7 linked regions of the Oryctolagus cuniculus genome follow. The protein of the gene in region 1 purifies or fractionates together with the protein of each later gene. This does not show direct contact. Links are inferred from orthologs where the notes say so. Each region holds a gene or a part of one and is shown in the gene's direction. Other genes may lie near its edges. The genes, in order: GSK3A, GSKIP, FRAT1, AXIN1, AXIN2, NBR1 and PRUNE1.

Region 1 (3,300 bases):
TCTTAGGTATGACCTTGCGCCCTGAGGGTCAAGGTACTAGGGAGGGGTGAGAGTGCCGGGTTACAGCTCCTCCCCTGGGCGGCAGGTGAGGAAGGCAGGGATCTCTGGCCTGGAGAACAAAGGTGCCACGGGCAGGTGTGGGCCTCGGTGTCTGCAGGCTAACAGCGCAGAGAGAGGGCTGGCTGGGTTTGGTGAGCAGAGGCAGTGAGGGCTGGGACCAAGCCGACTGGAGGTGCAGAGAAGCTGCACGGATCTGGAGGCTCAAGGTCGTGCCCAGGGCTCCTGAAACGTGTTACCTTGGGCCGGATGCCTCATCTCTGCCGAGCTGAGCGAATGGGGCTCCTGGCCTCTCTCTGGTGGCCTGAGGGATGGAAGCCTTTGTCAGGGGATGGGCGCAGCAGCCCTGCTCGCCGAGCTCTGACCCTTACCCACTCCCCGCAGATGTGTGGTCAGCTGGCTGCGTGCTGGCTGAGCTCCTCCTCGGCCAGCCCATCTTCCCTGGGGACAGTGGGGTGGACCAGCTCGTGGAGATTATCAAGGTGAGGATGGTGCCAGGGTAGGCAGCGGGTGGGGCTGAGGGATGGGGCCAGGCCTCAGTCCCCGTCTTCTTCCTGCAGGTGCTGGGAACACCAACCCGGGAACAAATCCGAGAGATGAACCCCAACTACACAGAGTTCAAGTTCCCCCAGATTAAAGCTCATCCCTGGACAAAGGTGGGGCAGGGCTGGGGACCTGGGCAGCCTGGCAGAAGGGTGGGTCCCCTTTGGCCTACTGGCCTCAGAATCATAGCTCGGGAGGGGGGGTGCGAAGTTATCCTGGGAGGGGTCAGCCGCTCCCATGATTTCAGAGTAGGTAGAATTTTAAAAGTTGAGGACGCACAAGTACATTCCAAGGTTCCCCTTTTCTTGGTGGGTGACAGGCTCACAGCAGGGCTCAGTGTCTCGGTGCCGGGGCCAGCTTGCTCACCCGATACAGACAGACTTCCCCGACTTCCTCACTGGGAGATGGGCTCGGGGAGCTCGTCGTCAGGTCTGCCGAGAACAGTGGCAGTGAGGCACAGGGGTGCCAGTGCCTGTGGCAGCGCTCACCTGTGGCCCCGCGCCCCCTGCCCCCTCGCCCCAGGTGTTCAAATCTCGAACGCCGCCTGAGGCCATCGCGCTCTGCTCCAGCCTGCTGGAGTACACGCCGTCCTCACGGCTCTCCCCGCTAGAGGCCTGCGCCCACAGCTTCTTCGATGAACTGCGATGTCTCGGAACCCAGCTCCCCAACAACCGCCCGCTCCCCCCTCTCTTCAACTTCAGTCCTGCCGGTGAGGGTGCAGCAGGGGGTGGGGAACCGTGGGGGGACAGCAGAGGTTGGGGGAGAAGAGCTGGGTGTTGAAAACACGACCGGCGAGCTGCGTGAGGGTGCAGCGCAAGCCGGGGCTCTGGGAAGATGGCCTCAGTTCCCTTCCGCTGAGTGTGCTGCTTAGAGTTCAGTGGCTGAGTGTCCACGAACTGGCCCTGCCAAGAGCTGGGTGCCCAGTAGGGATCCCATCGTAACCCTGCATGGTCTCCAGATGGCTGCTTCCACCCTGACTGGGCGTGTCGATTCCTGTCTCTAGAACTCTCCATCCAGCCATCTCTCAATGCCATCCTCATCCCTCCTCACTTGAGGTCCCCGGCGGGCTCCACCCCTCTCTCCCAGTCCTCACAAGGTAAGCTGGGACCGGCTGCTGAGGGGTAAGCGGTGCCCACAGTGCCACAGCTCCCCGTAGCTGTCTCTGAGCCAGAGTTCCGACGGTGCCGAGCGCGTCTCAGAGCTGGCAATGGCCACCTTTCTGGGTGTGCTGTGTGCTGACTGCAAAGCCACAGAAGTACAGAAAGTTGAATTTGTCGAACTTGTCGCTCAGAGTTAAAAACTGGGCCATTTTGTGTACGAATCCAGATTGCCTGTATTTTGTTGGGGAAGCAAATCATAGTGGGTGGCTCTGGGCCTGCCTTTCCTCCCGATGGAGTCCCGCTGCCACCGTTCAGTCCTCAGACGGCCCGGCCCCGAGGTGGCAGCGTTCCGGTCCGTGTAGCCACTTTTGGTGGGAGGGGCCCTGGAAGGCCAACGCTAATTGTCTGCTCCTTCCCTCCCCCCTTCAGCTTTAACCGAGGCTCAGACCGGCTCAGACTGGCAGTCGTCCGAAGCCACACCTACCCTCTCTAACTCGTCCTGAGGGCCCCTCCAGCCACCTTTCCACTTCCATCTGGGAGCCCCAAGTGGGGCTGGGAAGGGGGCCATAGCCCATCGAGCTCCTGCCCTGGCTGGGCCCTGAGACTAGAGGGCAGAGGTAAATGAGTCCCTGTTGCCACCTCCAGTCCCTCCCTCGGCAGCCTCGACCCTGGGGTGGCTTTTTAAGAGGATTTTAACTGGTCGTGGGGAGGGAAGAGAAGGAAGGACAGGGGTGTGGGGGTATGAGGACCTCTGCCCCCTTGGCCCCCTCCCCAGGCCTCCACCTCCTCCAGCCCCTGCCCCTCCTGTGTCCCTTGTAAATAGAACCAGCCCAGCCCGTCTCCTCTCCCCTTCCCTGGCCCCCGGGTGTAAATAGATTGTTATAATTTTTTTCTTAAAGAAAACGTCGATTCGCACCATCCAACTTGGCCCCTCCCCTCCTACAGCCGTATGTCCCCTCCTGTCCTCTGCCCCAGCGTCTGCTCCCTCCTCTCCACACCCTGGAGGGCCAGGGGAGCGGGGAGGGCTCCTGATGTCTTAGTTTCCACAGTAAGGTTTGCCTGTGTACAGACCTCCGTTCAATAAATTATTGGCATGAAAACCTGGCTTCCTGTCTGGCTGCGCCTTTCACTGAGGTGAGGGGGTACCTGTGCGCTGTTCTGGGACAAGCATGTGCTGTGTCTCAGGAGGGGAGGGTGGGGGGCCGAGGTGCCTGACTGTCCTGTGCCTTCGCTTTCTCCTCTGCACGGATCCATGGTAGGGGCCTGGGAGAGGTCCGCCCCCAAGAGCATAAAGCATCTGTTTTGGCTTAGGGGAGGGGTCAGCACCCAGTGCACACTGAGAACTGGGGGTGGGAGGTCAAGGCCGAAGAGCACACTGGTAGTCAGGACTTGAAGCAAGAGCTGTGTCAGCCTGAGCTGCCTGCTGCTCCAGGGTGCAAGGAGACACAGAATGATGAGGGGTCACCCGGCCACAATGCAGCCTGCTCGTGGTCTCAGGCCGGGCCAGAACCCCAACATCCGCGGGCCTTCATGCCGTTTTACACAGCACCCATCTGGTCCATCTTGAGGATGCTGAGAAGCAACGGCCTGGAAAGGGTGA
Region 2 (4,014 bases), on another chromosome or scaffold:
AACCAGCCGGTGAGCACGGTCAGACACCGTGCCCCGGACGCAGGGACGCAGGCCAGCGCTTGGGCGCGTGCAAACACACACCAAGCACCCGCAAGACACAATGAGTCAACTCGGCCTCCGACGACCAGTGGAGAACCGGCTTTAAAATGTCTGAAAAGTGCAGCCTCAGCGCTTTTGCAACACCTGCTCTTACGATCTGTCACGTGAAGCCAAAAGGCACGCACACTGTCCGTGTAAACATAGCCTGGTACAAAGGCGTGCAAGCCGGCGGACGAGGCCTCCCCCGCTGTCCCCCGGGCCGGACGCGGCGTGCCCGGGGGCCTCGGCATCCCACGGGTCCCCCTCGCCTTTCCGGAACGCTACGCCGCGACACGGGGTCTGCTGGCCGTGGGACCCCCGATCCGCGGCCCAGACCGCCCCCGCCGCCCGCCCTAACTCAAGCACTCCCCCAGCGCAGGCTCCCATCTGTCCGCTCGGTTTCTGGAACACGTGATGTCCAGCACTCAAAACACGTTTCTCCGGGGCCGGCCACACGCGGGTCCCCAAATCCCGGGGGGACGGCACCGAGGAGGGGCGCGGGGCCCGCCGCCCGCAGCTCTTACCCATTTGTCCAAGGGGACCTGGGCGAGGGACCCGGTGCCCTGGTACAGGTCCAGGCTGAGCTGCTCCAGGCTCAGCTTCTCCTGCAGGAAGTGGCCCAGGTACCTCTGCAGGAGGTACCGACAGGCCCTCTTCTTGATGGACTCGGAAAACGGCCACGGCATGGCGGCGGCTGAGGGCGGCGGCGGCGGGGCCCAGGCTCCGGCTCCGGCCGCGAAGGCGCTCCGGGGCCCGGCCGGCGTCCCCGGGCCGCGGCGGGGCCTAAGCCCGGCGCGGCCCCTTCATGCCCGCTCACCGCCGGGCGCCCTCAGGCCGACGGCATCGCCCGCGCCGGACACCGGTCGCAGGCCCGGCAAGGACCCGGCGCAGAGGCGGCCCCGGCGTCCGGGGCAGGGACTCCCGAGGGGATCCTCCTCGGCCCGGACACGGGAGCGCGCGACAGGAGGCGGCTGACACCTCCTCGGCAGCCGCGCGACGAATTTGTTGTCATCCACGAAGCGCGCTCCCGAGCCTGGGGACGCTCCCGGCGCGTTCGCGAGAGCCCAAGGCGCCTCACGCGCACGCGCGCGGCCGGGCGCAGGCGGAAGTGACGCCACACTGGGGGCCGAGGGAGGCGGGAAGAAGAGCCGGGGCCGGAGCAGTTCCGGCTCCGAGGGGGCGGTGCCGCGGGCCGGCTCCGGCGGCCTCCCGAGGGAGGAAGAGGAGAAGGCGGGCGAGCGCAGGTGAGCGGGCGGCGGCGGCGGCGGGGGACTCAGGGGAACGGGCGGGCCGTGGGGCCGCCCGGACGGGGGCTGCGGCGCGGCAGGCCCGAGCTGCGGGGCCGGCAGGCCGAGAGGGGTCGGGCGGGCCCGGGTCGTCGGGGGCCCCGGGCGCGGCGGCTCGGAGCGCCGCTGTCTGGCTGGGGAGGACCGGGGCGCCCCTCGGGCCTCCGCGCCCGCCCGCTGGGCGCCGAGGGTCCGCCCCCGCCTCCTCAGGTATTGTTCCCGGAGCCGGCCGGCGGCCGGCGGCGCGCCGAGCTCCTCCGGGGCGTGTGGCACCAGCGACCGGGAAACTCGGGAGTTGGAGCATCTGCGGCCAGAACTGCCGCCTCGGGTCGACGGCAGGGCCCGCTGACCGCCGGGGACCCGCGCTGGGGTCCCGGGTCGGCGTCGTGGCCCTGGTGCGCGCCTGCGACCGCTCGGCCCCGGGCTCGCCGAGCCTCCTTCGCAAGGGGGAGGGTATTAACGTGTCTTAGTCCGAGGATGATCGTTAGGAAGGTGAGCGGACGTGAAGCCCTGACACCCGTGCACCTGCCGTGGGGTAGTGAATTCGCGGGGCTGAGGACAGTGCTGACCGTCTCGGTAACTGTTTCGCGAAAGCCTTGGAAGCACTAACAGAGCCCCGAAGCGTTGGCGGATGGGGAGAGGTTGCGTTCCCGTCCACGCTGGCTTCTCCGCGTGGGGACCGTGCGGCCCCCGGGGTCCTCGGTGCCCCTCCCTGTTGTAGACTCAGCCCGAGTGTCCTCAGTAGCGACCCTTCCCTGGCGCCGCGTTCGTGGGGAAGCGCTTACCGGGGGTCCAGAGAGTGGAAGTCGGTGCAGTTCCGTGTGCGAAGATCAGAGCGTCCCGGGAGCTGCGGTTCTAAAGTGTGGATGGGGGGGGCGGGGGTTCACTCAGTAGGAAACGTTTACTGGCTGCGCGCCAAGTGCCGGGGACACCACGGTGGGACAGCGAAGTCTCTGCTCTCATGGAGCCCTTTGTTGAAGGGAGGGGAAATAGGTAACAGCGTGCCATGGGGCGGTGAGCGCTGTGGCAGGGAAAGACAGCGGGCGGGGCAGAGGCGAGAGGTTTGCCTGTCTTGCCTCGGACGGTGAGAGAAGGTGTTCTCCAACTAGGTGACATTTGGCAGAGACGTGGAGAATGCAAGGTGCACAGGTGTTTGGAGAGTTGGTCTCCCCACACGGGGGAGGAGCGAGCGTGATGGTTGAAGGGGAATCGTGAGTAAAATAGGAAGAAGAGACTGGGAGGAGGGACGGGAAGTCTTGCAGGGTTCTGGGCCTTTGGCTCTCACTCTGGCTGAATGGGAGGGTTGAGGAGAGGAGTGACATCCTCTGGCCTCAGTTTGCAGGATCCTGCTAACTGCGGTGTTGAGAATAGGCTGGCGTGGGGGTGGGCGGGTCCAAGGTGAACAGAGCGAGACCAGTTAGGACGGTGTTGCAGTAATGCAGGCGAAAGATGACGGTGGCTTGGACCAGAGTGGTAGCAGTGAAACCTGTTAGAAGCAGTTAGGTTCTGGATATTTGTTGAAGCAAATAGGCTCCCTAAAAGCAGAATAAAGAAAATGATATGAAAAGTCAAAGGTGGGGGCCTGCCTTGTGGTACAGCAGGCAGCCCATTGGGTGCTGCTGCTCCACTTCCAGTCCAGCTCCCTGCTAAGGCACCTGGGAAGGCAGCGGAGGACTGGGCCCCTGCACTCACATGGGAGACCTGGAAGAAGTGCCTGGCCTGGCCCCAGCTGTTGTGGCCATTTGAGGAGTGAACCAGTGGATGGAAAACCTCTCTCTCGCTCACTCACTCTCTCTCTCTCTGCCTTTCAGATAAATAAATAATAAAATGAAAATTGGGCTCTCATCTGAGAGGGCAGTAGAATAGGCCTTGAGAGCTTTGAACTGGGCTTCTGACCTAGCAATATGATTTGGACTTACTTCCGATGACTTAAATACATGGTTTCTTTAGCAATGTAGAATACATTCAGACTGTCAACGGATGCTTGCAATTTCACTTATCAGAAAGGAAAATTAAAATTGAAGGTTTTTTCCATTTAAAGTGTTAAATGCTTCCTTGTGCATTTTATGCTTTTCAGGAGAATTTCAACATAATTTTTTTTTAATTTTCTTTATTTATTTGAAGGGCAGTGTTAGGGAGATACAGAGAGAGATCTTTCACCAGCTGGTTGACTCCCCAAATGGCTGAAATGCTTAGGGCTGGGTCAGACAGAAGCCAGGAGGCTGGAACTCCATGTGGGTCTCCCACGTGGGTGGCAGGGGCCCAAGTGCTTGGGCCATCTTTGCTGCTCTCCCATGTACATTAGCAGGGAGCTGGTAAGAAGTGGAGCAGCTGGTACTCAAACCAGCACTCATATGGAATGCCAGTGTTGCAGACTGTGGCATAACTCTGTGCCACAACGCTAGCCCTAAGATAAATGTTAAGGTTTGGGACCAGTCATTATTATCCCTGTAGCCCAAACAGGACACAAACTCATCCCCAGACACAGTGCTATGTTTGTGTTTATGGAAGACAGAGTACCTAGCACAAAATATTAACACCTGACATTGATTGAGGTAGATGAGAATAATTAATTACCCAACCACATTTTGTCAGCTTTTTAAGAATTATATTGAAGAGTTTAAAGTGACAGAGTAGAAGCTATACATCA
Region 3 (3,112 bases), on another chromosome or scaffold:
AACCATAATATACTAAAGCATTGAAATGGCCGCTATTGGCAGGCACTGTGGCTCACCAGGCTAATCCTCCACCTGTGGTGCTGGCACCTCGGGTTCTAGTCCCAGTCGGGGCACCGGATTCTGTCCCGGTTGCCCCTCTTCCAGGCCAGCTCTCTGCTTGTGGCCCGGGAAGGCAGTGGAGGATGGCCCAGGTCCTTGGGCCCTGCACCCGCATGGGAGACCAGGAGGAAGCACCTGGCTCCTGCCTTCAGATCAGCACAGCGCACCAGCCGTAGTGGCCATTTGGGAGGTGAACCAACGGAAGGAAGACCTTTCTATCTGTCTCTCTCTCTCACTGTCTAACTCTGCCTGTCAAAAAATAAAAAAAAAAAAAAGAAAAGAAATGGCCACTATTTTATGTTCATGCAAACCACTCACCATTTTCCTCTCCCGCTACACTTGGGAGCACCTCCTCCTCTGCTGGGCTGAGGCCTTCCTTAAAACTTTGTGCAGGGTCGACCCTGTGGAGCAGTAGGTTAATACTCTGCTTGTGGCGCACGTATCCCATATGGGCACAGGTTCGAGTCCCGGCTGCTCCTCTTCAGATCCAGCTCTCTGCTATGGCCTGGGAAAGCAGTAGAGGATGGCGCAGGAGCTTGGACCTCTGCACCCACATTGGAGACCCGGAGGAAGCTCCTGGCTCCTGGCTTAGGATCAGCTCAGCGGCCATTTGGAGAGTGAAAGAGTGGATGGAAGAATGAAGAGCAGATGGAAGAATGATCTCTCTCTCTCTGCCTCTTTGTAACTCTGCCTTTCAAATAAATAAATAAATCTAGAAAAAAGGAAGAAAAAAAAAAGTCTTTGCAGCTCACAGCCCCTTTCAAGAGCAGCAACCGCCAGGTCTCCAGCAGTCCCAGCCCCCGGTGCAGGCCCCAAACCCCCAGGCTCCCAGCTGAGAAACGTCGGTCTGTGGCCCTGCTTTCTTTACCTTTCCCAACTCCGCCAGCCCCATCGCACTACAGGGCTCCCCTCCCTCTCTCCATCCCCGCCAATCTCGCCAGACACCGGCACCCCGACCTCAAAAGCGCAAACGCTGCGAGCAGGCGCGGGGACGTGCGGAGCGGAGGACGTGTGTAGGTGTGTGTGTAAGTGTCTGCGCTTGTGTGTGGGAGCAACCAACAGGGCGCACGCCGGTGTCCTTCCTCTGCGGACGCCAGCCACGCCGGGTGGAGGGAGCGTGGAGCAGCTCCCCTGTGCGCCCCCACACGCCGCGCTCAGAGACCCACGCGCAGACGCGGCGAGGCTTTCCTCCGGACCCCAGGCCGGCAGCAGCCTGTCCTCCCGGGGCATGGCTCCCCCCACCCGGCGCGGTGGTAGGGCCCGGCGCGACGTCACCCATTGTTTACAAATCAACCCGAGCCGGCAGCATTCCGGCTTCGCTGCTGCAGGCTGGCTGCGCGAGCGCCAGCCGGGCCCGGCTTTTGCGTCCGCCCCGGTCCCGGCCCAGACCCCGGCTCCGGCCTTAGCCCCACGCCGGGATCAACCGCGGCCCACCCAATCCGCGGTCCGCCCAGCCGCCAAGCGACGCCCGCCGAGCTCCGGGTGCCCGGGCCGAAGGCCATGCCGTGCGGGAGGGAGGAGGAAGAGGAAGCCGGCGAGGAAGCGGAGGGGGAGGAAGAAGAAGAGGAGGAGGAGGAGGAGGAGGAGGGCAGCTTCCTCCTGCTGGAGCAGTCGGTGACGCTGGGCGGTTCGGGCGAGGTGGATCGGCTGGTGGCCCAGATCGGCGAGACGCTGCAGCTGGACGCGGCGCAGGACAGCCCGGCCTCCCCGTGCGCTCCCCCGGGGCCGCCACAGCAGCAGCCCCCGCGGCCCCCGGCGGCGGTGAGGGCGGACAAGGCCCGGGCCCCCGGCGTGCCGCTGCTGCCGCCGCCCACGTTGGCCGAGGCGGTGGGCCCGGCTCCCCCGGGTGCTGTTCGCTGCGCCCTCGGGGACCGTGGCCGCGTGCGAGGGCGGGCTGCGCCCTACTGCGTGGCCGAGCTGGCCGCGGGCTCCAACGTGCTGTCTCCGCTGCCCCCTCAGCCCGGCCTTGATGTTCCACCGGGGGCCGGCAAGCAGGGCATCCCGCAGCCGTTGTCAGGCCCGTGCCGGCGAGGATGGCTCCGAGGCGCCGCCTCCTCCCGCCGCCTGCAGCAACGACGCGGTTCCCAACCCGAAACCCGCACGAGCGACGACGACCCGCACCGGCTCCTGCAGCAACTAGTGCTCTCGGGAAACCTCATCAAGGAGGCTGTGCGGAGGCTCCATTCGCGAAGGCTGCAGTTGCGCCCCAAGCTTCCCCCGTGCCAGCTCCCGGGGCCGCTGTCCGCCCCGGCACAGGAGCCCCGCTCGCCCCGAAGCCCCCGCGCGGCCTGCAGTGACCCAGGCGCGCCGCGGAGGAGGGCGCAGCTCAGAACTGGAGACGGTGTTCTCGTCCCTGGCAGCTAACAGCCAGGGTGGCCGCAGCGCCGGCCTCCGACTGGGAGACCATGGGGCTCTCCGAGGGCTGCATCCCTGCTCAGACTAGTGGAGAGCTCGCTCCTTTTGAAGCAGAGAAAATAAGCTGGTGTAGACGGAGAGCCGAGACATCGCGAGTGTTTTCGCGGGCGACGGTGGTCCAAGGCCCCGATCTGCTTGCAATTCAGCTGGCGCTGCTCAGGACTCCCAGTTGGCGGTGACCCGCGCAGCCCACGACCACGTGGCCGCGGCCCAAGCTTCTCGGGCCCGCAGAGCACGGAACGACTGTAGAGGACCGCAGTTACTTGCTTTACCTTTCCAAGGCTGTTTCCCGATCCGTGTCGGGGGAGGGCGACATGAGCAGTTTCAGGGAGCACCCCAACCTGCCGGACTTGAAGATTGTACGACACTTAGCAAACCCAGCGCGTGTCTTTCCGGGTGCTGTTCTTAACAGAAACCACGCGGCCTCGGGAAAGGACCCTCTTGGGGTTGAGTGGGAGTAGCCTTTTCTTCTGCCTTCTCTTTGCAAGCTGGCCGCCTTTTCCTGAGCGCACGGGGAAGCCCGTACACCACGGGAGGACGGCGGCGGGGGTGTTGGAGGTGGGAGGGTGGGGTGAGAGGCGCAGGGACCCTCTGTCCT
Region 4 (3,500 bases), on another chromosome or scaffold:
CTCATTTTGGGGAGTCTCTGCCTGCGACTGGATGGGTGGCTCTGTGTCCAGCTGCAGGGAAGACAGCAGCTACCTGGCCAGACGCCCTGGGCCAGCCCACCTCCACTGTGCAGGTGGGTGCCACGGACACTGGCCGGGGACACGTTAGCTGAACTTGAGCGTAGCTGCTGTTTGTTACAACATGTGACTCTGTTTACATCTGTTACAAGTAGTGATCCTTTTTTCAAAGAAACTCAGGTGTTTTTAAAAAAATATTTACTTATTTGAGTTAGAAGGAGAAGCAGAGAGAGGGAGAGACAGAGAGAGAGGTCTTCCATCCACTGCTTCACTCCCCAGACGGCCTCAACAGCCAGGACTGGGCCAGGCGAAAGCCGGGAGCCAGGTTTCTGTCCAGGTCTCCCCCTGTGTGCAGGCCCACGCACTTAGGCGTCCTCCACCACTTCCCCAGGCCATTCATGGGGCAGCTGGGACTCTGACTCAGTGCCCATGTGCTGGCGTTGTGGCGTTGTGCAGTGTCCCAGGCAGGGCCATAACGTCCTGCACCACGATGCCACCCCCAGAACAAGAGTCAACGTTGGGAAGTAACTGCGTGAGGCTGGATGCCCGGAGCCTACAGTGAACGGCGGTCTTTGCACTGCCGTGCTGCCGAGGCATCAGCCCTGCCCGTCGCCCCCTGTGTGTGGGGGGGTCTCCTTCCTCACTGCACCTGCGCAGCATACAGGGCGAAAACTCTGGGAGGACCCTCGACAAAGACTCTCCCAAAGTCCCTGAACGGGAGCAGGAGGCAGGCGGAGTCCGCCGGGGCCCCAGTCTGCCCTGCTGGTGCTTCCCCGGCACCAGCTGAAGATCTTGTAGTTGACAGACCTTGCTGTCTTGTCTTGCTTTGCACTTGTGAGAAATTTAGGATATCTGAGGTCTGCTTATACTAAAATCCAAGGGTGAAGGGAGTGTCTTGTCCTAGAGTGAAGATGGTTGAATCCAGGCTGCTGCTGTGGTGTGGTGGGCTAAGCCTCCGCCGGGGGCACCAGCATCCCATATGGGTGCCGGTGTCCTGGCTGCTCCACTTGCAATCCGGCTCTCTGCTGTGGCCTGGGAGAGCAGTAGAAGATGGCCCAAGTCCTTGGGCCCCTGCACCCATGTGGGAGACTGGAAGAAGCGCCTGCCTGGCTCCTGGCTTCGGATTGGCCCAGCTGTAGCCGTTGAGGCCATTTGGGGAGTGAACCAGCAGATGGAATTCCTGTCTGTCTGTCTGTCTCTGTAGCTCTGCCTCTGAAATAAATATATTTTTAAAAGACATTTATGTCCTTTTGGGCCAGCCCCCATTGGGTCAGTGGGCTAGATGCGCGTGATGCAGCACCCCGTAGCGAGTGCCAGTCGGTGCCAGCTGCTTGGCCTCCCGTCTGCTCCCTACTAGTGCTGCTGTCGAGGCAGCAGATGGCGACCTGAGTGTTTCGGCCTGCCACCCATAGGAGAGACCCAGACGGAGGGCCTGGCTCCTGGCCTTGGCCTGGCTCTGCAGGCATCTTGGGGTGAACCAGCAAATAGAAGATCTCTCTGTCTCTCTCTCTTCTGTCACTCTGCCTTTCAAATAAATAAAGCATTCAGAACAGGGCGTGGACACTTGCATCCCACATTGGAGCACCTGGGTTTGAGCCCCAGCTCTGCCCTCCACTCCACTTCCTGCTGGTGGGCCCCTGGGAGCAGTGCTGGCTCAGGTGGTCGGGGCCTGCCACCTGCACGGGCGACCTGAGTAGGTGTGACGCTGGGGCACCTGGGGAGTAGCCAGCAGGTGGAGGATTGTTTTGCGTCTCCCCACCCTTCTCTCTCTCTCTTGCTCTGCCTTTTGAATAAAGCAAATAAATAAATAAATGTTTAAAAATAAATGGGTAAGGGACCTGTGCTGTGGCTCAGCGGGTTAAAGCCCCTGCCGGAAGCGCCGGCATCCCATGTGGGTGCCGGTTCGAGTTCTGGCTGCTGCTCTTCCGATCCCACTCTCTGCTGTGGCCTGGGAAAGCAGTGGAGGATGACCCAGGTGCTTGGGCCCCTGCACCCACGTGGGAGACCTGGAAGAGGCTCCTGGCTCCTGGCTTTGGATTGGCACAGCTCCGGGTGTTGCAGCCATCTGGGGAATGACCTAGCAGATGGAAGGCCTCTCTCTCTCTCTCTCTGTCTCTCTCTCTCTCTCTCTCTCTCTCTCTCTGTCTCTGTCTCTGTCTCTGTCTCTCTGCCTCTCCTTCTCTAACTCTGACTTTCAAATAAATTAATTAATTAAAAAAAAAATAAATGGGTAAATAAAACCCAGGGGATGACGTAGGCTCCACCTTCCTTTTTGATTGATTCCAGATTCAGTCAGCACCTTAAAAAGGTTGGTTTATTTTGAAAGGAAGAGGCGCAGCCGGAGAGACGGAGTACATGGTCTTCCACGTGCTGCCCGCACGCGGGTCAGGAGCAGTGTAGCTGGCATTTGAACTGTCACTCGGGTGTGGGACGCAGCGTAACCTGTGCCACTGCACGCAGCACCCACCCTGAGGTGTGACCAAACCGTGTGCATTTCCACGCCTGGTAACAGATGCAGAAGTGTGCCCGCCGAGTGCGAGCATTGAGTCAGCTCTGTGTGCAGGGGCAGGATTCTCTTGGCAAACAGGAATAGAGGAATTGGAAGGAAACGCAGTCTTTGCTGCGAACGTAGAAGAACATAGAGATGTCGGTATTGTGTGCAGTGGGTTAAGCTAGAGCCCGCGACTCTGGCGTCCCACTGGGCGCCGGTTCGAGTCCCGGCTGCTCCACTTCTGATCCAGCTCTCTGCTGTGGCCTGGGAAGGAGCGGAGGAGGACTTAAGTGCCTGGGCCTCTCTACCACGTGGGAGACCTGCATGTAGCTCCTGGATTTAGCCTGGCCAGACCTGGCCGTTGGGCAATTGGGGAAGTCAATCAATGAATCTCCCTCTCCCTCTCTCTCTCTGTAATTCTGCCTTTTAAATAAATAAAATCTTTAACAACAACAATAACAAAAAAGAAACAAGAAAATCGATGGAGAGCCTTCAGTGCCATGACTGCATGTGCCCTCTGCGCTCCAGGGGCCCCGTGCTCACCCTGCTCCAGTCTGCCTGCTCCTGGCCAGCAGCCCAGCATCATGGGAGCAGGGATCAGTCGGGACGGGGAGCCCTGGAGCCCTCTGGTGTGGCGCTCGGTCCCAGCCCAGCCGCTGCCTCTGCAGAGCCAGCACGTGTTGGGGGCCCTGGCCTCCAGGACGCACTGTGCCGGGGCCATCCTGTCCACCCCCCGTGTGACTTGCTGCCTCGCCCCACGCAGGAGGAAGAAGGAGAGGATGGTGACCTTCCCCCTGGGCCCCCAGGGGCGAGCCACAAGTTGCCTCCTGCCCCAGCCTGGCACCACTTCCCGGCCCGCTGTGTGGACCTGGGCTGCGCCGGGCTGCGGGACGCACACGAGGAGAACCCCGAGAGCATCCTGGACGAGCACGTGCAGCGGGTCATGCGGACC
Region 5 (3,500 bases), on another chromosome or scaffold:
AGAAACGCTATTATTTTCCAAGCTTGTAAATTCGAGGATTTTGTCCTGGGGTGTGCAAATTGACTTTCTCCCCATCAGCGCGCAAAGCCAGCCTGTGTGAGAACCGGCCACCTCCTGCTGGGGGTGGGGAGGGGGCTCTCTCTGCCCCCTCGGGCTGGTTCTGCAGCTAAGCGGTTGCCCGGGCGAGGCCCCTCTTCTGCTGGGGCTGGCGTTCTCTCCACCCCCCGGCCCCCAGAAAAGGGCGAAGCGGGCGGGAGATGAGGAGGAAGGAGGCGAGCCGCCGGGAGGGGGGCGGGGCGGGAGATGACAGAGAGGCGGCGGCGGGGGTCCGCCCCGCGTGCTGCAGTTGGCAGGCGATGCGATCGCGGGGCCTCTTTATATTCCGCACTTGATTTGGAGATGTTCCCTGTTCCCTTGATGGCTCAACTTCAGGCGGCCGAGCGCAGCAGTGGTCTGCTACTAGCCTGCAGCAGCTCTCTTCATTTTCCGTACAAAGAGATGGGGAGGAGGGGAGGAGGGGAGGAGGAAGGCGAGGGAGGCCGAGGCCAGTGTGGAGACAACAGCACCTCAGAGGTGCGCAGTGTGCGGCCAGGAACGAATTACCGCTGCTTCTCTGATCCGGGCCTGCCGACACTCTCTCTTTTTTTTTTTTTTTTCCTATTCCCCCCGCCCCCACCTCCTTTGCAATCTTACTTTCTTTAATTTCCAACTCCCCTTCTGTTTAGACGCTACTTTCTATTCCTTGAGTTGCTCTCGCTCCCCTCCCCATCTCAGAGGGCTGCTTTTTTTTTTTTTTTTTTTTTTTTTTTTTGATGTCTGACAACAGTCTTTGAAGATTGTCTACTTCAGAGTAGCTACTGATGGGCTGGTTGTACTACAGAGGGAACAAGCAGGGCCTCTCGGAGTGCGACCAACTGCTCCTGCCCAAGGCAAACGCTGGTGGGGACCATGGCTCTCCATGAGGCCGCGGCGCCGCCGCATAAAAACCCCGACAGCCCCGGCCGCCGCGCCAGCCGCTCTCCGCCCCGGCACGGGCGCGCGGGTTCCGGCAGCTCCGGCCTGCTAAGCGCGCCCCGTCCCTGTGCCTCCCCGCGCCCCGCAGAGAACCCACCGCCTGCCCAAGGAGATGACGCCCGTGGAACCCGCCGCCTTCGCGGCCGAGCTCATCGCCAGGCTGGAGAAGCTGAAGCTGGAGCTGGAGAGCCGCCACAGCCTGGAGGAGCGGCTGCAGCAGATGCGCGAGGTAGGCCCGCGCGGTGGCCCTCCAGCGCTGTGCGTGCGTGCGTGCGTCCATCCCGTGCGTGCGTGCGTCCATCCCGTGCGTGCCTGCCCACACGGCCCCTCTGCGCCATCCCGTTCCAGGACGAGGAGAAGGAAGGCTCCGAGCCGCCGCTGAGCGCGCGGGAAGGCGCGCCCGCCCAGCACCCCTTGTCCCTGCTGCCCTCCGGCGGCTACGAGGAGGACCCGCAGACGATCCTGGACGACCACCTGTCCAGGGTCCTCAAGACCCCCGGCTGCCAGTCGCCCGGCGTGGGCCGCGCCAGCCCCCGCTCCCGCTCGCCTGACCACCACCATCACCACCACCAGCCCTACCACCCCCTCCTCCCGCCGGGGGGCAAGCTGCCCCCCGCGGCCGCCGCCCCGGCCTGCCCACTGCTCGGGGGCAAGGGCTTTGTGAGCAAGCAGACCACGAAGCACGTCCACCACCACTACATCCACCACCACGCCGGCCCCAAGACCAAGGAGGAGCTCGAGGCCGAGGCCACGCAGAGGGTGCGCTGTTTGTGCTCCGAGTATTACTGCTACTGCAAGTGCAAGAGCCACCCCAAGGCTCCGGAGCCCGTGCCAGGAGAGCAGTTTGGGTAAGTGCCAGGCGGTCTGCGGCAGCCCGCGTGGAGCTGTTCTCCCGGCCAGAGGCCTGGGCAGGGGTGAGGCGGGGTCCGCGGCCACAGGCGTTTAGCGCCGGGGGAGGGGGTGCAGGTGCATGGGTCTGTCGCGTTCCCGGCCCCTGCTCGTGCGGTTGTCCCATTGGAGGAATCAGGGGAAGTAATGAGGGTCTCTGGGTTGGGTGTGGGTCTTGGTTTCCTGCAGTGGAAGCAGAGGCAGTACCTTGCCCAAACGAAGTGGGAAAGGCACGGAGCCTGGCCTGGCCCTGCCCGCTAGGGAAGGAGGGGCCCCCGGCGGCGCTGGGGCCCTGCAGCTGCCTGGAGAAGAAGGAGACAGGTCGCAGGATGTGTGGCAGTGGATGCTGGAGAGTGAGCGACAGAGCAAGCCCAAGCCCCACAGGTAGACGCTGCCGCCCCCGGTCACGGACACGCACGCGCGGGGGTCTCGGGGATGGCTGTTTTCACAGTTGGCTGAAAACAAGTGCGACTGTTTGCTCCTGCCATCTTAATATTAAACGTTGGACTTGGGCAGACCGCAAAAATGTCATGTTTTGGCAGCCACTCCCGTTCGTGTTATGGTAGAGTTATTTTTTTCTTCTGCCTCTCTCTCTCTCTCTGAGCAGAATAGACAAGTTTCTATTGAAGTCACATTTTCCAGTTTTTCTAACCCAATTTCTTCCCTTCTACTTTCTCTCTCTGCATCGTTTGTTCAGTGCCCAGAGCACAAAAAAGGCCTCGCCCATGGAGTCTGCTCGCGGGTCCCCGGGCGAACGGGTCAGCCGGCACCATCTGTGGGGGAGCAGCGGGCACCCCCGCACCGCCCCCCGTGCCCACCCCTTTACCCAAGACCCTGCAGTGCCCCCCCTGACCCCACCCAACACGCTGGCACAGCTGGAGGAGGCCTGCCGCAGGCTGGCTGAGGTGTCGAAGCCCCCCAAGCAGCGGTGAGTGGGAGAGAGGGGGTCCGCGCGGGATTGGAGGGGAAGGGGGCACCCTTCTTTCCTGCCTGGGTCTCAGGCCCTCCTGGAAGCAGGCGTTGCTTCTGGCCGACTAAGATTCGCCCTGCAGCCTCTGGGCGTGGGTCCCACTGCTGTGCCTGACTTGAACCCGGATTCAGGAGCATACACTTGAATAATTCCTTACACACCCCATTCCTTATAAAACCTCTCGGTCCCTGGGGGCTGCTTAGCTGAGCGTGTGGGAAACTGGCTGGGGAGATGCAGGAGTCTTTAGCCCTTGGCGTGGGCTGAGGATGTCCTGTGCAGGGTGCCCAGGGGGCTTGCAGCAGCTGTCCCCAAGTGTCATCCAGGCCTCCTGTAGCCCCAACGAACACAAGGCCTTACTGGGTCTTCACAGGGATGGAGGTTGGGTCCGTTTCTCTTCCTGAGGCCAAAGAGAGTGTGTGTGTGTGTGTGTGTGTGTGTGTGTGTCCGTGTCCCCTGTAACCCTGGGGGTGGCCACACCTCTAAAGCCCTCCCCCTGGCTGTGTCCTCAGGTGCTGTGTGGCCAATCAGCAGAGGGACAGGAACCACTTGGCCGCTGGTCAGGCAGGAGCCACGCCCTTCTCCAACCCCAGCCTGGCCCCCGAAGAGTGAGTGTCTCCACTGCCCGGTA
Region 6 (4,151 bases), on another chromosome or scaffold:
ACGGGCCGGCGCCGCGGCTCACTAGGCTAATCCTCCGCCTAGCGGCGCCGGCACACCGGGTTCTAGTCCCGGTCGGGGCGCCGGATTCTGTCCCGGTTGCCCCTCTTCCAGGCCAGCCCTCTGCTGTGGCCAGGGAGTGCAGTGGAGGATGGCCCAGGTGCTTGGGCCCTGCACCCCATGGGAGACCAGGAAAAGCACCTGGCTCCTGGCTCCTGCCATCGGATCGGTGCGGTGCGCCGGCCGCAGCGCGCCGGCCGCGGCGGCCATTGGAGGGTGAACCAACGGCAAAAGGAAGACCTTTCTCTCTGTCTCTCTCTCTCACTGTCCACTCTGCCTGTCAAAAAAAAAAAAAAAAAAAAAAAAAAAAAAAAAAATTCTGCACGAAGCCTTGTGTAATTAGACGGTTTGAATTCTCTACAGTTTACATATAGGTTTCCAATGGGGTGAGTGGTGACAGCCTCAGCTTTCTCCAGCCATCCAGGCTGGCTTTTTTCTTTCTTTTTCATTTTCTTGATTAAAACCAAAGGCACTGCCACCAATCACAGCAAAACCTACACCAGGAACACTCGCCACCCCTGCCTTTCCCCAGAGCGTCCCACAGACCTGCTCCAGCACCAACGCACCCGGAGCATACATCTCTCCCGTCCCCTCCCCAAAGTGCCTACGGATCCAATTCCAGAGGGTTCTGTCTCACACAAAATCCTGTCTCCTCCTCTTCCCCGACAATCCTGGGCCTTCTTCCAGGTCCCTGCCTCTGGCATTCTTACGCTCAAGGTGTCCCCTGCACATCCGGTCACCCGGATTCCCTCGGACACACCGTGGCCTGTCCTTATCCTCGGTGCCCGCCTGGTGACTCAAACTGCCCCCCTCCCCAGGATTCATCTCAGAGCCACACAGCCCGTAGGCCCTTCAGATTTCACCCCCACACCCTCCGGCCCGAGGAATGCCCATCTCGCTCTCCTTCGGGAGACCACTCTTCTCACAGCTGTTTGTTTCTCAACTGACCACCTCCTGGCTCCCTCTTCATTTCCTAGGGACTCTCTCACCTTTAACCAGATCGGAGTCCGGGCTTTCCGGGCCCTAGGGCCCAGTTATCTGAGAAACCGCCCCCCGACTGTAATCGGTCCAGAAAGCCGCAGAAAACTCACGACGCGCAGTCTCAGTTTCAATTTATCTGTAATTCCCGCGCTTTCGGTCGCCATGGAAACCCGCCGCTCCCGCGGAGCTATAGCCTCTCAGCTTGCGAGATTAAAGGACGTCAGCGGAAGGGCGGAGCAGGAGCCTCCCAGCTCCGGATTGGCCATCCTCTCTTGCCCCACCCCACCCCCGCATGACGTAATTAGAAAGCGACGGGAGAAAGACTTCTGAGTTTTCTATTAGGTGGCCGCCCCCTCGCCTCTACGCTTCTGGTTACAGCTTATTACGTCACAGTAATTGCTGGACAAGGGTTGGAATCACTACCTGAGGCCTGAATATGAGCGCAAGGTAGTGCTCACAGCAGTCGCAAGAAGAGAGCCCATCCCCTCACCCTTTCCGCCGCAATGGACGTGCCCCGTTTAGGTAAATAAAAAGATTGTCGGGGGAAAGAAACTACGATCTCCAGCATGCATTGCGTAACGAAAGGCCTTCGCCACAGTGTTCCTTGGAAACTGTAGTCTTATGGAGAAGAGCTCCCGACTCTGGAAACGGGCACGATCCTCGCGACACGTAGTTGAAAGACTGGAGCCATCCGCGCGGTTATGCACGTCGACAGCTATGGACTGGAGTGCTGTTAGGTGTTTATATCTTAAGAGCGGACGCTAAAGAACCTGTAAGTTCCAGGAAGACTACAATTCCCGTCAGGCCTCGCGTGTCCACTAAGGTCAGCGACCTGAGGGAAGGCGGAGGACGCGGAGTTTGCTTGGGGAGGGGTAACCCGCCCCAGCCTCGGACTGCGCATTCGTAGTTCCGCCCCTCGGCCCCGGTGTTTGTTGTTGTTGTGAGGGTCAGGTTGTGTCTTCCCCGCCCCCGCCAGGGCAGTCTCAACCAATCAATGGGGGGGTGGTCGTTTTGAGGGACAAGGGTAAGAGCCAATCATCTTGTCGGAAACTCGGAGGAAACAGGGGACTAGGCCCTGTCTCTCTCCGCCATGTTAGATTCTGCCCGCAGGGAGAGCAGCAGAGCTGGCAGCGAACGGTCTTTGCACTGGCCTCCGGCAGGCGCCCCCCGGGGGCGGGAAGCTGGTAAGCAAGCTGCTGCGGTTACCTAGGAGTGGGGTCACGTCACACTGAATGGGTTTGGGGAAGTTCAGGGGAGGAACCCTGCAAATAGGGGCGACTTTTTCCGTGTCTAGGGGCAGCCAGTCTTTTCAGTGACAAGACGAGAGCCGTTCGCGCTCGGAGGGACCGAGGGAGCCGATGCCGCCGGCGGGATGGAGGGGCCGTGGCTCAGAACGCCTGGCTTGTACCGACGGGAGGTCGGGATCTCCCAGTACAAAGAGGGCCTAGGCAGAGGAGTAACTCCTTAGGGGGCGATGACAGTGTGTTGGGGACATGGAGTGCGAGGCAGACGGGGGGCTGGAAGAGCAGGATGAAGACGCTCCCCACACATCCCCCTCATCACATCGTCCCCTTTCTGAGACCCGCGTCCAGAGACCTTAGGGAACTTCGGTATTGGAAAAGCACTGTTTATCTCTTTTGTCAAACACCTAGCTTTCATATCACACTAAAAGCCCGGATAGGACAGTAATCAAAGCTCGCAGTCCCAGGTCTGCTTAATTAAAAGGATTTTTTTTGAGGCTAAAAAAAAAAAAAGAAGAAGAAAAAACCGACGTAGAGGAAAAGCTGACTTGTGCCAAGCTAAGGTGAGTCAGTGACATGAACTTATAATACCAGTTATGAAAGCCGAGGGCGTGGGCCCCAGCTACCTGACTGTACGGGCCCTACATCTATAGAGCCACGGAACGAGCCAGAGTTGAAGTATTTCCAAAGTTCAAGATTTATGCTCTCGTTTGAAAGAGTTTTCACATGAACGCCAAAGAGATAGGCAGTTCTTTATGAAGACCTGGCTGTGGTCCAGCTAAGCTAGAATCTCCCACTTCCTGTTTGCTCCCCGTTGGCAGACCAGCTGGGTGAGTGCCAAGTATCTGAACTAATTTCTAATGGGATAATTTGGGCAAGAAGGAGGAAGATTGGTTTCCTTCCGGACTTTCAAAAGTATGAGAATGTGTTTCTTGACATTGGAAACTAAAAGTATATTTCAGAATATTCACTTAGGGCAGGCTGAGTTAGTCACTTCATTTCTCTGATTTTTTTTTTGCACAAGGTCACAGGGAATTGTCAGGGATTCTACCCATATCATAAGGACCCCAAGAGATGTATTTCATGTGAATGACTGCTAGAAGTCAGTAGGATTGCTGCGAGTCTGGCATTACTTTGTGGTGAATTTAAGTGGAGAAAAAGAATGGGAAAATTTGCAGAGATCATTGAGTAAGTTTATAAAAATGAAATCCCGATCTTCAGAGATTTCAGAGTCTTTAAAGTGGCAGTCTCAGTTGTATTGTTTGAGAGTAGTTCGTTATACTGTGAAAAAAAAAATAGTATTTTTAAGCTTCTGAAGACTTATTTGAGGGAAATACATGTTCATTCCTAAACCTTTGCAATGGCTGGGTCTGAGCTAGGTAGAAGCAGGAGCTGGGACGTCAACCCAGGTCTTCTACATGGGTGACAGGTACCCAACTACCTGAGCCATCGCTTTTACCTCCCAGTCTGCATTAGCAGGAAGCTGGATTAGAAGCCAAAGCCTGGAACTGAATCCAGGTACTTCAGTGTGGGATGTGAGTGTCATAACCAGCAACTGTAAACTGCTAGGCCAAATGGCTACCCCTGAAGACTGGTTTATTGTAGTAATGTCCTTTTTTTTTTTTTTTAAGATTTTATTTATTTACTTGAAAGGTAGAGTTGCAGAGAGAAACTCTTCCATCCACTGGTTCACTCCCGGAAATGGCTACAATGGCCAGGGCTGGTCTAGGCTGAAGCTGGGAGCCTAGAACTCCATCTGTGTCTCCCATGTGGGTAGCAGAGACCCAAGTACTTGGGCTGTCATTCACTGCTTTTCTAGGCATGTTAGCAGGGAGCTGAATCAGAACTTTGATATGGGATGCAGGCTTAACC
Region 7 (3,500 bases), on another chromosome or scaffold:
TTCTCTTTATTATGTTTTTTATTTGTTAATTATTTTTTTTTTAAGATTTATTTATTTGAAAGGCACAGTTACAGAGAGGCATAGGTAGAGAGAGAGAGAGAAAGTCTTCCATCCACTGGTTCACTCCCCATATGGCTGCAATGGCTGGAGCTGCACCAATCCAAAGCTAGGAGCCGGGAGCTTCTTCCAGGTCTCCCATGTGGGTGCAGGGGCCCAAGGACTTGGGCCATCCTCCACTGCTTTCCCAGGCCATAGCAGAGAGCTGGATCGGAAGTTGGAGTTGCTGGGACTAGAACCAGTACCCATATGGGATGCCAGCACTGCAGACGGTGGCTTTACCTGCTATGCCACAGTGCTGGCCCCTAATTATTTTCAAAACATTTATTTATTTATTTGAAAGGCAGAGAGAGAGAGATATCTTCCATCTACTGGTTCACTCCCTAAATGACTGCAACAATAAGGTCTTGGCCAGGCTGCAACAGCCAGTCTGGGGGCCAGCATTGTGGTATAGCGGTAAAGCTGCCACCTGCAATGCCACCATCCCATATGGGTGTTGGTTCGAGTCCCAGCTGCTTCACTTCTGACCTAGTTCCCTGCTAATGCACCTGGGAAAGCAGCAGAGGATGGCCCAGGTGCTTGGGCCCCTGCACCAACATGGGAGACCAGGAGGAAGCTTCTGGTTCCTGGCTTCAGATCGGTTCAGCTCTGGCCATCGTGGCCATTTGGGGAGTGGACCAGCAGATGCAGGATCTCTCTCTCTCTCCTCTCTTTCTCTGTAATGCTGCCTTTCACATAAATAAAATAAATCTTTAAAAAAATACAAAAAATAAAAATAAAAACAATCAATCTTGGCCAGGCCAGAGTCAGGAGCCAGAAAATCTATCCTGGTCTCTGACATGAGCTGGATTGGAAGCAGAGCAGCCAGGACTCAGATCAGCACTCTGATATGAGATACTGGTGTTGTAAGTGGGTAGTTTAAACTGCTACACCACAACACCCACCCTTTTTGAAAAATATATTTTTAAAAAGATTTATTGGGGTCGGCCCTGTGGCATAGTAGGCTAAGCCTCCACCTGTGGCTCTGTAATCCCATGTGGGCACCGGTTCATGTCCCAGCTGCTCCTCTTCCAATCTAGCTCTCTCCTGTGGCCTAGGAAAGCAGTGGAAGATGACCCAAGTCCTTGGGCCCCTGTAGCCACGGGGGAGACCCAGAAGAAGCTCCTGGCTCCTGGCTTCGGATCCACGCAGCCCCGGCCCTTGTGGCCAACTGGGGAGTGAACCAGCAGATGGAAGACCTACCTATCTCTGCCTCTCTCTCTTTCTGCCTCTGCCTCTGCCTCTCCCTGTAACTCTACCTCTCAAATATAAATAAAATCTTTTTAATAAAAAAGAGATTGATTTATTTATTTGAAAGCAGAGTTGCAGAGAGATATCTTCCATCCACTGGTTCACTCCCCAATTGATTGCAAGGGCCAGGGTGGGCCACACTGAAGCCAGGAGCTTCCTCTGGGTCTCCCACATGGGTGCAGGGGCCCAAGTTCTTGAGCCATCCTCTGCTGCCCTCCCAGGAGCACCATCAGAGAACTGGATTGTAAGTGGAGCAGTTGGGACTCATCAGTGCCCACTTGTCACAGCGCTTGCCCCTGAAAACTATTTATTTGAAATGCAGAGCAATAGACCTAGGTACTTTGTTTTAGCAGCATTGCATAACTAGCTAAACCAGAAGGAAACTTTTTTTAGTTAATTTGAGAGAGAGAGCAAGAGAGAGAGAGAGAGCAAGAGAGAGAGAGAGAGCATGCGAGAGCGCTCCCATCTGCTGATTCACTCCCTAAATGTCCAAAATGGCCAGAGCTGGGCCAGGCTGTAGCCAGGAGTCAGGAATTCAATCCAGGTCTCCATCTCCCATGTGGGTGGCAGGAACCAATGACTTGAGCCATCACTGCTGCCCCCTACAGCCTGGATTAGCAAGGCACTGAGTCAGGAGCCAGAGCTAGGTGTTGAGCCTACATACTGATAGGGAATGTAGGCATCATAACTGGCAGCTTAACCATGAGGCCAAATGCTTACCCTAGAACACATTTTAATGCCAGCTCTGCCAGGAAATAGTTGTATGGCTTTGAGCAAATTTCTTAGCCTTTCTTTTGCCATTTTCTCCATTTTAAAAACAAGTTACAGTTGGAATAGACTTTCTTCCAGATGGTAAGATTCTTTGGTAGACTTTGGCCTATTGAAGAGTTGTCATCTCTCTCTGACTAGGTTGTGAAATCCACAAGGATTGAGACGCTCAGACTTCCTTTCCACCTTTCTCCCTTTCCCCAGCTCCGTTTTATTTTGGATATGGAAGGTCTTACTCAGAACAAAGACCATCGCACTTTCTTGTTTTGTTTTCAGTGAGTTTGCCATGCAAGTCTCCTCTGTATTTTGTCAGTGTGGTTTGAAGGGTATGTGTGTATGTGTGTGTGTTTTAAGATTTATTTATTTATTTGAGAGGCAGAGCTACAGACAGAGAGAGGGAGAGACAGAAAAAAAGGTCTTCCATCCACTGGTTCAGTCCCCAAATGGCCACAACAGCCAGAGCCAGGCTGATCCGGAGCCAGGAGCCAAGAGCTTCTTCTGGGTCTCCCAGGAAGGTGCAGGGGCCCAAGCACTTGAGCCATCTTCTGATGTTTTCCCAGGTCATAGCAGAGCGCTGGATTGGAAGAGGAGCACCCGGACTAGAACCAGCACCCACATGGGATGCCTGCACTGCAGATGGATGCTTAGCCCATTACGCCACAGTGCCAGCCCTGGTTACGTGTGTTCTAGTGGCTGTGAGTGGAGGATCTTAGGATTTGACTTCTTCCCTCTCTGTCTGCACAGGAACCATCATCCTGGACTGTGTCAACATGGACCCTAAAATTGGAAAGGCAACCCTAAAGGACAACCAATATGTAGAGAAACTGGAGGCCCTCTTCCCAGATCTGCCCAAGAGAGATGACATCTTTGATTCCCTCCAAAAGGCAAAGTTTGATGTGTCAGGTAGGAAGTGGCACAGTGACTTCCCTACCTCCTGCATGAGAAGACAAGTAGGCAAGCCTTGCTCATTGTAGTCTTTTTTTTTTTTTTTTTTGAAGATTTATTTATTTATTTATTTGAAAGTCAGAATTACACACAGAGAGAAGGAGAGGCAAAGAGAGAGAGAGAGGTCTTCCACCTGCTGGTTCACTCCCCAATTGGCTGCAATGGTAAGAGCTATGCCAATCCAAAGCCAGGAGCTTCTTCCAGGTCTCTCAAATGGGTGCAGGGGTCCAAGCACTTGGGCCATCTTCTACTGCTTTCCCAGGCCATAGCAGAGAGCTGGATCAGAAGTGGAGCAGCCAGGACTCGAACTGGTACCCATATGGGATGCTGGCACTGCAGGTGGTGGCTTCACCCACTACACCACAGCACCACAGTGCCACAGCGCCACAGCGCCAGCTCCTATAAATGCATTTTCCATCATCTCTCTGCTTCATGTCCTC

What was found.
Region 2: the proteins of GSK3A (region 1) and GSKIP purify together in Homo sapiens (affinity purification with mass spectrometry; 7 studies listed by BioGRID and IntAct, with this or other methods). This does not show direct contact. The link is inferred for Oryctolagus cuniculus from reciprocal best matches to the Homo sapiens genes GSK3A and GSKIP.
Region 3: the proteins of GSK3A (region 1) and FRAT1 purify together in Homo sapiens (affinity purification with mass spectrometry; 4 studies listed by BioGRID and IntAct, with this or other methods). This does not show direct contact. The link is inferred for Oryctolagus cuniculus from reciprocal best matches to the Homo sapiens genes GSK3A and FRAT1.
Region 4: the proteins of GSK3A (region 1) and AXIN1 purify together in Homo sapiens (affinity purification with mass spectrometry; 12 studies listed by BioGRID and IntAct, with this or other methods). This does not show direct contact. The link is inferred for Oryctolagus cuniculus from reciprocal best matches to the Homo sapiens genes GSK3A and AXIN1.
Region 5: the proteins of GSK3A (region 1) and AXIN2 purify together in Homo sapiens (affinity purification with mass spectrometry; 3 studies listed by BioGRID and IntAct, with this or other methods). This does not show direct contact. The link is inferred for Oryctolagus cuniculus from reciprocal best matches to the Homo sapiens genes GSK3A and AXIN2.
Region 6: the proteins of GSK3A (region 1) and NBR1 purify together in Homo sapiens (affinity purification with western blotting; 3 studies listed by BioGRID and IntAct, with this or other methods). This does not show direct contact. The link is inferred for Oryctolagus cuniculus from reciprocal best matches to the Homo sapiens genes GSK3A and NBR1.
Region 7: the proteins of GSK3A (region 1) and PRUNE1 purify together in Homo sapiens (affinity purification with mass spectrometry; 3 studies listed by BioGRID and IntAct, with this or other methods). This does not show direct contact. The link is inferred for Oryctolagus cuniculus from reciprocal best matches to the Homo sapiens genes GSK3A and PRUNE1.

Annotation. Positions count from the first base shown.
Region 1 is NC_091449.1:12,815,199-12,818,498, reverse strand, and holds the end of GSK3A (glycogen synthase kinase-3 alpha), read left to right. Parts: intron 1-441; coding exon 442-539; intron 540-617; coding exon 618-713; intron 714-1,122; coding exon 1,123-1,309; intron 1,310-1,603; coding exon 1,604-1,696; intron 1,697-2,129; coding exon 2,130-2,203; 3' UTR 2,204-2,800; downstream 2,801-3,300. UniProt on the Homo sapiens protein: Constitutively active protein kinase that acts as a negative regulator in the hormonal control of glucose homeostasis, Wnt signaling and regulation of transcription factors and microtubules, by phosphorylating and inactivating glycogen synthase (GYS1 or GYS2), CTNNB1/beta-catenin, APC and AXIN1.
Region 2 is NC_091451.1:40,752,754-40,756,767, forward strand, and holds the start of GSKIP (GSK3B-interacting protein), read left to right. Parts: upstream 1-1,214; 5' UTR 1,215-1,322; intron 1,323-2,473; exon of another isoform or gene 2,474-2,498; coding exon of another isoform or gene 2,499-2,575; intron 2,576-4,014. Other genes in the region: ATG2B (autophagy-related protein 2 homolog B), read right to left, coding at 603-764. UniProt on the Homo sapiens protein: A-kinase anchoring protein for GSK3B and PKA that regulates or facilitates their kinase activity towards their targets.
Region 3 is NC_091446.1:32,500,198-32,503,309, reverse strand, and holds FRAT1 (proto-oncogene FRAT1), read left to right. Parts: upstream 1-1,377; 5' UTR 1,378-1,599; coding exon 1,600-2,463; 3' UTR 2,464-2,612; downstream 2,613-3,112. UniProt on the Homo sapiens protein: Positively regulates the Wnt signaling pathway by stabilizing beta-catenin through the association with GSK-3. May play a role in tumor progression and collaborate with PIM1 and MYC in lymphomagenesis.
Region 4 is NC_091450.1:34,335,523-34,339,022, forward strand, and holds part of AXIN1 (axin-1), read left to right. Parts: intron 1-3,311; coding exon 3,312-3,500. UniProt on the Homo sapiens protein: Component of the beta-catenin destruction complex required for regulating CTNNB1 levels through phosphorylation and ubiquitination, and modulating Wnt-signaling.
Region 5 is NC_091448.1:11,836,925-11,840,424, reverse strand, and holds part of AXIN2 (axin-2), read left to right. Parts: intron 1-1,102; coding exon 1,103-1,243; intron 1,244-1,362; coding exon 1,363-1,862; intron 1,863-2,091; coding exon 2,092-2,286; intron 2,287-2,599; coding exon 2,600-2,830; intron 2,831-3,381; coding exon 3,382-3,477; intron 3,478-3,500. UniProt on the Homo sapiens protein: Inhibitor of the Wnt signaling pathway. Down-regulates beta-catenin. Probably facilitate the phosphorylation of beta-catenin and APC by GSK3B.
Region 6 is NC_091448.1:19,834,569-19,838,719, reverse strand, and holds the start of NBR1 (next to BRCA1 gene 1 protein), read left to right. Parts: upstream 1-1,351; 5' UTR 1,352-1,810; exon of another isoform or gene 1,811-1,861; intron 1,862-2,135; exon of another isoform or gene 2,136-2,222; intron 2,223-2,690; exon of another isoform or gene 2,691-2,842; intron 2,843-3,303; exon of another isoform or gene 3,304-3,467; intron 3,468-4,151. UniProt on the Homo sapiens protein: Ubiquitin-binding autophagy adapter that participates in different processes including host defense or intracellular homeostasis.
Region 7 is NC_091438.1:47,070,256-47,073,755, reverse strand, and holds part of PRUNE1 (exopolyphosphatase PRUNE1), read left to right. Parts: intron 1-2,859; coding exon 2,860-3,018; intron 3,019-3,500. UniProt on the Homo sapiens protein: Phosphodiesterase (PDE) that has higher activity toward cAMP than cGMP, as substrate. Plays a role in cell proliferation, migration and differentiation, and acts as a negative regulator of NME1. Plays a role in the regulation of neurogenesis.